3 linked regions of the Kluyveromyces lactis genome follow. The main gene of each other region encodes a partner of the protein of the gene in region 2 in a complex. Links are inferred from orthologs where the notes say so. Each region holds a gene or a part of one and is shown on either strand. Other genes may lie near its edges. The genes, in order: RPA34, RPC10 and RPB4.

Region 1 (2,557 bases), on a different chromosome or scaffold from region 2:
CAAATCGAATCATATCTTTCGTTACCTAAGGATAATAATGTGATTCCGATGTTAAAGGGGTTACAAAAATTCAAGTTTGACCCAAAGAGGAACACTTTACAGTACGTATCCATTTACGATGTGCATTCTGCGGAGGAATTGCTACAACTATTAAGATCACAGGCGACGTTCAAGGGTATATCATGTAAAGAGTTAAAAGATGGTTGGCCACAATGTTTTGATACAATCGACGAGTTAGAAGCAAAGAACAGAATCCTTGTTCTTCGGACAAAGAAGGATAATTCTCCAAGGTTTGTCTGGTATAACCATGCTGGTCCATCAAGGCAAATCGATGAAGAGTTCGTTACGATGTGGGAAGCTTGTAAGCTACCTCAGCGTAGTGAATTACCAAGAAAACTACAAGATTTGGGTCTCAAGCCTGCTAGTGTGGATCCTGCTACGATCAAGAATGAGCAAACCACAAGGAAAGAGGTCAAGAAACGTAGATCAAGAAAGGGTAAAGTTACCAATACACATATGGCTGGTATATTGAGAGATTATTCCGATAGGGTATGAAGATACCTACTTTTTATAATGAACGTATTCTACATATAACCCAAATTAAAATATGACCAGTGCGTTATATATAAATAATATACAGAAAGACCAGAACGAGTGCTCTAGTCGTGCTTTCTCTTTTTTTTGCTAACTTTCTTCAAATCTTTATCCTCGTAATACCCAGTTGCGAAATGTCTAGTCTTGAGACCCTTAACCTTCAACACATCCTTTCTATCCACTCTTACCTTAGAATAATCAATGCTTGGAATCTTTGCAGTTTCGCTTATGGTAAAGATCTTATCAAATGATCTTGATGCAGATGAATCGACGGTCAACTTTGTCTTATCTACAGGAGTCAATAATGTCAATTCAGAAGAAGAAGATGCACCAGAAGTGGAATTTTCTTGTTGGATTTCCTCCTTCACAGAGAAATGTTTACCTTTTTGTTCGATGCCAGTTTCCGACTCCGCTGTGAAATCAATAGGTAATTTCGAAAGCTTAGAGACATCTAAAGATTTAGGAAGTTTGATAAGCCAAAGTTCTTTTTGCTTCAAGTTCTTAGGCTTCACGAATGATTTCAAATGTGTACATTTCTTATAGTTTTCAGGTGGAACGAAAACGTCCGTTACAGTTTCTGATGATCCATCATTATCGCTGTCGCTATCACTGATGTATTCCTTTGAAAGAGTTTTGTCGACCTTGGCCATTGTTTGAGATATTTCTTATAACGTTTTGCGAGTGGAATAATATTACAGGGAAGGGTGTAACAAAAACTCACCTGAACTAGTTAAACTGTAATTGGAACCCTAGGACCACACAGAACCTCACTTATCTGCCTCTGTGTGTCTATTTGAATCTGCAATGAGATGAGATGAGCTTAAACCGAATTTTTTCATCTTGGGAAAGACTTTTCTTTCTTTTTAGACGTTACCCGGGAAAATGCACGTGGTTAACACGTGGAACAAACTATCGTATTCATGAAATCTGTTCCAGTTCATCACAAACCATCGAGAAATGGTATGTCCGACTTGAACAGCCTTCGAGCAACATTTATTGGATCACTAATACTATGATTCCCGTTGAATGGTATGACATCGATGCCCTAAGTACTTGGTTTACTGTATTATCATGTCGAACGACGCAATTATTCCAAAAATTTTTTCCATGCTTCTTCGACACGAAGAATATAAAAAGGCTGGTAATGAGAAACAAACTAGACATGTTAAACTCATCAAACCATTTATCCAGGTTAGGTATTGAAAAGTTCTGTAGGTTGTTCTCTAGCCTCACTTGCTGTTGGCAAGTGAGCTTTATAGTATCCTTGATGGAGCAGTGTTTCACAGCCGTGAAACACTGATTCGTCTATGTTACGCTTGGAAAAGAGACCTTTTCCATGAAGAAATAAACGTAAAAGTTTGCATATACGTGGGATTCATTATTACTTCATACCTTACGAAAGAACTTCAAAACATTTAACGATGATGAAAACGGTCTACACTTCTTTCCCAGTCCGATATCGACCATGACGATATGGGAGTCTACCATGTTGTTGTCTTACGGGGCAACGACTTTTTAAGCCAGTACATGCTTTGACATGTACAATTTAGATCATCTGAGTTTTCTCTTTTTAGTTTTCTTAAGGTCAAAGTAACAGTGAAACAAGATCCATCGTCGTATCTTCTGTTGCATTTATTTCTTCAAAACGTTTCACTTCTTCTTTTTAGCTAAGAACATGATTGTGCGTTATGGATTTTAACATTTTTTTATATGATGAAAATTGGTTCCTTTACATTCGCAGTTTCCACGGTAGGAGTACGCCTACGAACCCATCGTTAGTACTCTTCAGTGACCGCTCTTTATTGAGACCTTCCTAGGATGTCTGATCTTTTTATATGTTATTATCCATTTCCATTTTCAATCCTGTTATCATCGCAGAACCTGTAGAACTGTCAATCTTTCTTGCTTTGTCTTATGTATCTAAAAGGCTTAATTATACTAATTACAAAACGCCAAATGGTCT
Region 2 (2,196 bases):
TTTACATATAAACTGCCATACTGTGAAAAAATTCAAAAACTAAACAATATAAACAAAGGAAAAAGGAAACTTCCAGTCACCAATACGTGTATGTGTTAATAAAAGGCGTTTGTACTAGTAGTTGACGAGTTGAAGCGTATCAGTGGCAGAATAAAAGTGTCACATTGTTGATAGTGGCGTCCTATTTTTTTCAATTATGGATTCAGAGCAGGTAAAGAAACGAATGTCTCAAATTGAGTTAGAGATAAGTGAGATGAACGAGATGATAGATAAGAACTTGAGCATTCATGAGACCACGGTTAAGACGAAACAGGATGTTTCTTCTGACGATCAAGATGAGGATTACTTAGAGTTGCAGAAGCTAACGGCGAACCAGGTTGATCAATTTGTGCAGAATGCTATTAAAAGCGATGGGGAGGACGAGGTACCGGAAACACTAAGTAGTGGCAGAGAGACGGCACTACAAGCGGAAGAGCGAGAAGACATAAAAGAGGAGAAACCAGGTACTCAATTAGAGGCAGCAGTAGTGGCAGAAGTGGTGGCAGAAGTACAAACTGAACCAACTGCTGAGAAAGCTATTCCCGCTGTTTCCGTAACCTCTGTTCCAGCGAAGAGAATACCTTCTGAGAAGATCGAAGTCTCCACCAGCACAGAAGAGGATGAAGCAGCAGCAGCAGCTACGATTGTACCTAACACTGATAAATCAAGTACATACCCTGCTCCTGCAGCAATCGGCCATACTCAGAACGGAACCGTCCCTCGTGCACCAAACACTGACTCAAGCAACATACCTACTTCACCACGTATACTCACGCCGAAGAGCAACCCGTTCCGCGTAGTACATGTTGGTAGCCAACCAAGCTCCCGTAACGCATCGAGAAACAGCTCTAGGGTCTCAAGCACTTCCTCAGATATTTCAGACATAAACTTTGAACAATTACAGCAAAATTACAACTCACTCTCGGTCAAATGTACCAAACTACAAAAAGAAATCGATTACCTCCACAAATTTAAAAACGAAAGTACCTTAACGCTCGAAGACAGACGCAAACTGATCACTGCCATCGAAAAATTGCAAGAATACCTCGACAAGAAAAACAAACAACGTTACGATACAGGTGTAATATTATCCCGTCAAATAAGGAAAAACGTAGATATGGGGGCCAATGGCCAATTTTGGGTAGGAAGGTCGTAACCTGGAAATCTCGTACTACATACATACATACGTTCATTCGTGTCTATATAAATGTGTGTGTATTTCTATGCATCCTTTAAGTATTACCCTACCGTGTATTTCCAAAAGAAATTCTTCTGACCTTAGTAAGAAATTTGAATTGACAAGCTCATCATAGGAATCAGAAGCTTTGACTGAAACATACTGTCTCGGATACGAGAGTTATCCTCCGATAGTCGAGTCAGTGAGTGCGTTTGTGGCCCCAATAGTTTAAGAGTAAGTGTCAAGATGTCCCGTGAAGGTTTCCAAATCCCAACGAATTTAGATGCTGCTGCTGCTGGTGCAGCTCAGAGCAGAACTGCCACTTTGAAATACATCTGCGCAGAGTGTTCAAGCAGACTTTCGCTTTCCAGAACTGATCCCGTCCGTTGCAAGAATTGCGGTCACCGTATCCTACTCAAGGCCAGAACCAAGAGAATGGTCCAGTTCGAAGCCAGGTAAACCTGTTCCCATTCCATCACATAAACTATATGCATATAAACTATATATGTATTACAGCATCTTTCCTGTATGTACATTAATAAACGTTGACATTTAAACGTTTCTCAATTGAAACACGACTACATGGGCATCGCTAGTCGACAGACGGATGTCCGAAGTCAGCTGGGGTTATACCGGCTAATCACACTGCGCAAAATTCCTTTTTCTTTATGTGATGGAAAATCTCTGAGAAAACTTTATGATTTTGGGCAGCTTCACCATCTAATTTTAAAATCAAAGAATAACGTCACCGTTAGATTTGCATATATCCACTTCCAAACTGAAAAGACGAAGTTTGACGGACGTTTTGTGGACCATTTGAGCTAAGGCTTGATAGGCAACTGTTTGGTGTGATTAGTGAAGAGAGAGTGGGTGCTTTGAACGGTGCCAATATCTGCTTTTGCGTGTATTATCTTGTTTGTTGATTTTGGTGTTTAATTGAACGTTTCTCTCCTCAAACACAACAAAGGATCAGTGCTTTT
Region 3 (2,535 bases), on a different chromosome or scaffold from region 2:
AACGACATTATGGGATGCTGTTGAGGAATTCATGGATACTTATCCAGAAATTCTACATCCTAACAACAGTCTAAGCTTTTTGACGGATACCACGATGGTGGGACGTTTTTTCCCTGTTGTTGATTCGAATACAGACTATAATCTATGTCATTTCTGGTCCAATTTCGAAATTGGAGATCTAAATTTCTTTAGAAGTGACGAGTATCTTCAGTATTTCAATTACTTGGACTCCAAGGGTGGGTTTTATTATGAACGTTGGGGTGATGCACCCGTGCACAGTATAGGTGCCTCATTACTTCTAGACAAGAATGAAATCCACCACTTTGATGAAATTGGATACAGCCATGTTCCATTTGAAACATGTCCCACGTCCATATCAGCACGATTAGTGCTCCGTTGTATGTGTGATCCTAACGGCGAATCTAATATTCCCATCCACCCAAACAGTTGCTTGATGAGATGGTGGAAAAACGGTGCCGGCAAACTATTTATTAGATGATGGAGCAGAGGTGAAACCGGGGATATATATAAGATATAGTACATAGGTTTTAGTATAAAGTTTCCAAATTCGATAATTCCTTTAGGATTCTTTCTAGATCTTCGTCAGATATCTTGGTTCCTAAACTTGGAATTAGAGTCTTGGCTTCATCTGCATCTTCGCACGATAGAGAACCCAATTGCGCCACTTCGAATGGATGCAACCCTGTGGATGATAAAAGCTGTGATACAGCGGTTACTGTTTCCTGATCACGGAAACGTGAAAAATTCGTTAGGTATATCATGGTCTGCTTCAACGCTTGATTCTGTCCACCAGTGGTCTGTTCAAGCAATCTATCTATATCCTGTAACTCTTTCTCCTGTGTTTGGGTATGCACATTGACGTTATCTTCATCATCCATGTCATCGTCCTTATTTGATGCACCATTGCTTGCCCATGTCTTGAATAATTTCCGACGGTTCTGTAGCGTTTCCTTTATAATCAAACGAGACTCACTCAAATTTAAAGCCACTAGGTTTTCCTCCTGCCCCTGATGGTTGATTTGCTTCAAATTAAACTCTTCTCCCAAGTGTAAAGTGGCAGCATTCTCTTCTTCAACAAACTTCTTCAACCCACGTCTCTTGGTTTGAACAGTGGATGTAGATGTATTCATGGTAAATTCGAGCTGTTATCTATAAGAGCGGTCCAAAAAAGTAGACGAGTGTAATCACAAAAAGTGCTATTCCAGTAATCAGCCACTTTGACAACGGTACAACTTAGATAAATGTAACTCCAGTTGATGTTTCGAGTGACAAAGTTAGTTTACCTCTCGTTTTAATCGTAATTGAATTTCCATTTTTTTTCCTAACGGTAATTATGCGAAAACTCAACATCAGAATATTGGCCCTATGACTTCATGACATGAATGTTCTCTGTATTTAAGGTATTAAAGTGAATCTTGGCAAAGCTGTTTGTTTGTACAGGACACCAGGGCTTATTTTTAGGGCAGCGCTGTATGTACTTGGTACTCATCGTGATTAGGTATAGCCAGATTCGAATTTAGCTGTTTTTTAATATAGGAAGGCGTACATTCTTTAGCTGGTTTTGTTTCTGTTACTGTTTTGCTATAAGTTCTTTAAGCGAAACTCAGGGTTATTCAGTCGATATAACGTTTAAAAGGTATTTCCGTTGAAACTTTGAGTTGTGAATTGGTCATTTCTTTGTTGGAAGAGAGGCTTTTCTAATATTTTGCTGCAATAACGTGGTTAGACGTTGACTATAATCTGATATATAATAAATGGGGGATAAGAATAGCCTTTGGAACCCTGCGTTCATGGCTTCTCAGCAGGGAGCGTCGAGTTCGAATCAGAACCAGAACTTTTCTCAGACGCAGGCAAATACCCAGAATCAGGGCCCAGAGATTGCGCCTGATGGGCCAGCTGGGAGTAGCTCCAATGCAGGCGGGAATATATATGCAGGGCAGCAACAAGGCGGAAATGCGGCTGGTGGTTTCCAAATGCAGTCGCCACGTCAATCGATATTCAAAAACCCATGGCAAGAGATTCCCCAGATACCTGAGTCTCAGAGGTCTACTATGAGGAAGCAATCCAACTTCCCCTTGCCCACTACTTACGAAGAAGATAACGCTGTAGATGAATCCTCACAACAGTTCAGAAGGAGAAACTCATCTTTAGTAATACCACCTGCGCGTGCGGCAGGGCCTGATCCGTTCCTTTATGAGAAGCAACCGTTTCCCAACTATAATGATGCACAAAGAAGGCAGTCGGTTGCTGTCACTGGTGGCAGTCAACTTTCGCCACAGCAGGTAACGAAACCATCTCAGCTTAGGAAACCTGGAATTAATACTGCGGGATATATGGCTGGCTCCATAAATTCTTCTGTGTATCCCGCTACTGCAGGTGCATACATGAGCACGCGTGGCGGCTCAAGTTCACTTCCGTCGTCAAGGCCACCTTCTCCAATAATTATTGTCCCTAAATTCAACAAGATATTTACGAGACAGGACTTGAATCCCGTTATACATTCCACACCGAAAT

What was found.
Region 1: RPC10 (region 2) and RPA34 share a complex: the UniProt entries of both Saccharomyces cerevisiae proteins name them as parts of the RNA polymerase I (Pol I) complex. The link is inferred for Kluyveromyces lactis from reciprocal best matches to the Saccharomyces cerevisiae genes RPC10 and RPA34.
Region 3: RPC10 (region 2) and RPB4 share a complex: the UniProt entries of both Saccharomyces cerevisiae proteins name them as parts of the RNA polymerase II (Pol II) complex. The link is inferred for Kluyveromyces lactis from reciprocal best matches to the Saccharomyces cerevisiae genes RPC10 and RPB4.

What each region holds. Positions count from the first base shown.
Region 1 is NC_006037.1:552,744-555,300, forward strand, and holds RPA34 (DNA-directed RNA polymerase I subunit RPA34), read right to left. Parts: upstream 1,245-2,557; coding exon 660-1,244; downstream 1-659. Other genes in the region: transcription factor TFIIE subunit TFA2, read left to right, coding at 1-555; rRNA-processing protein LAS1, read right to left, coding at 2,537-2,557. UniProt on the Saccharomyces cerevisiae protein: DNA-dependent RNA polymerases catalyze the transcription of DNA into RNA using the four ribonucleoside triphosphates as substrates. Component of RNA polymerase I (Pol I) which synthesizes ribosomal RNA precursors.
Region 2 is NC_006040.1:683,536-685,731, forward strand, and holds RPC10 (DNA-directed RNA polymerase core subunit RPC10), read left to right. Parts: upstream 1-1,462; coding exon 1,463-1,675; downstream 1,676-2,196. Other genes in the region: BNI5 (Bni5p), read left to right, coding at 197-1,195. UniProt on the Saccharomyces cerevisiae protein: DNA-dependent RNA polymerases catalyze the transcription of DNA into RNA using the four ribonucleoside triphosphates as substrates.
Region 3 is NC_006037.1:539,770-542,304, forward strand, and holds RPB4 (DNA-directed RNA polymerase II subunit RPB4), read right to left. Parts: upstream 1,152-2,535; coding exon 549-1,151; downstream 1-548. Other genes in the region: KLLA0_A05775g (glycosyltransferase family 15 protein), read left to right, coding at 1-499; serine/threonine protein kinase YAK1, read left to right, coding at 1,776-2,535. UniProt on the Saccharomyces cerevisiae protein: DNA-dependent RNA polymerase catalyzes the transcription of DNA into RNA using the four ribonucleoside triphosphates as substrates. Component of RNA polymerase II which synthesizes mRNA precursors and many functional non-coding RNAs.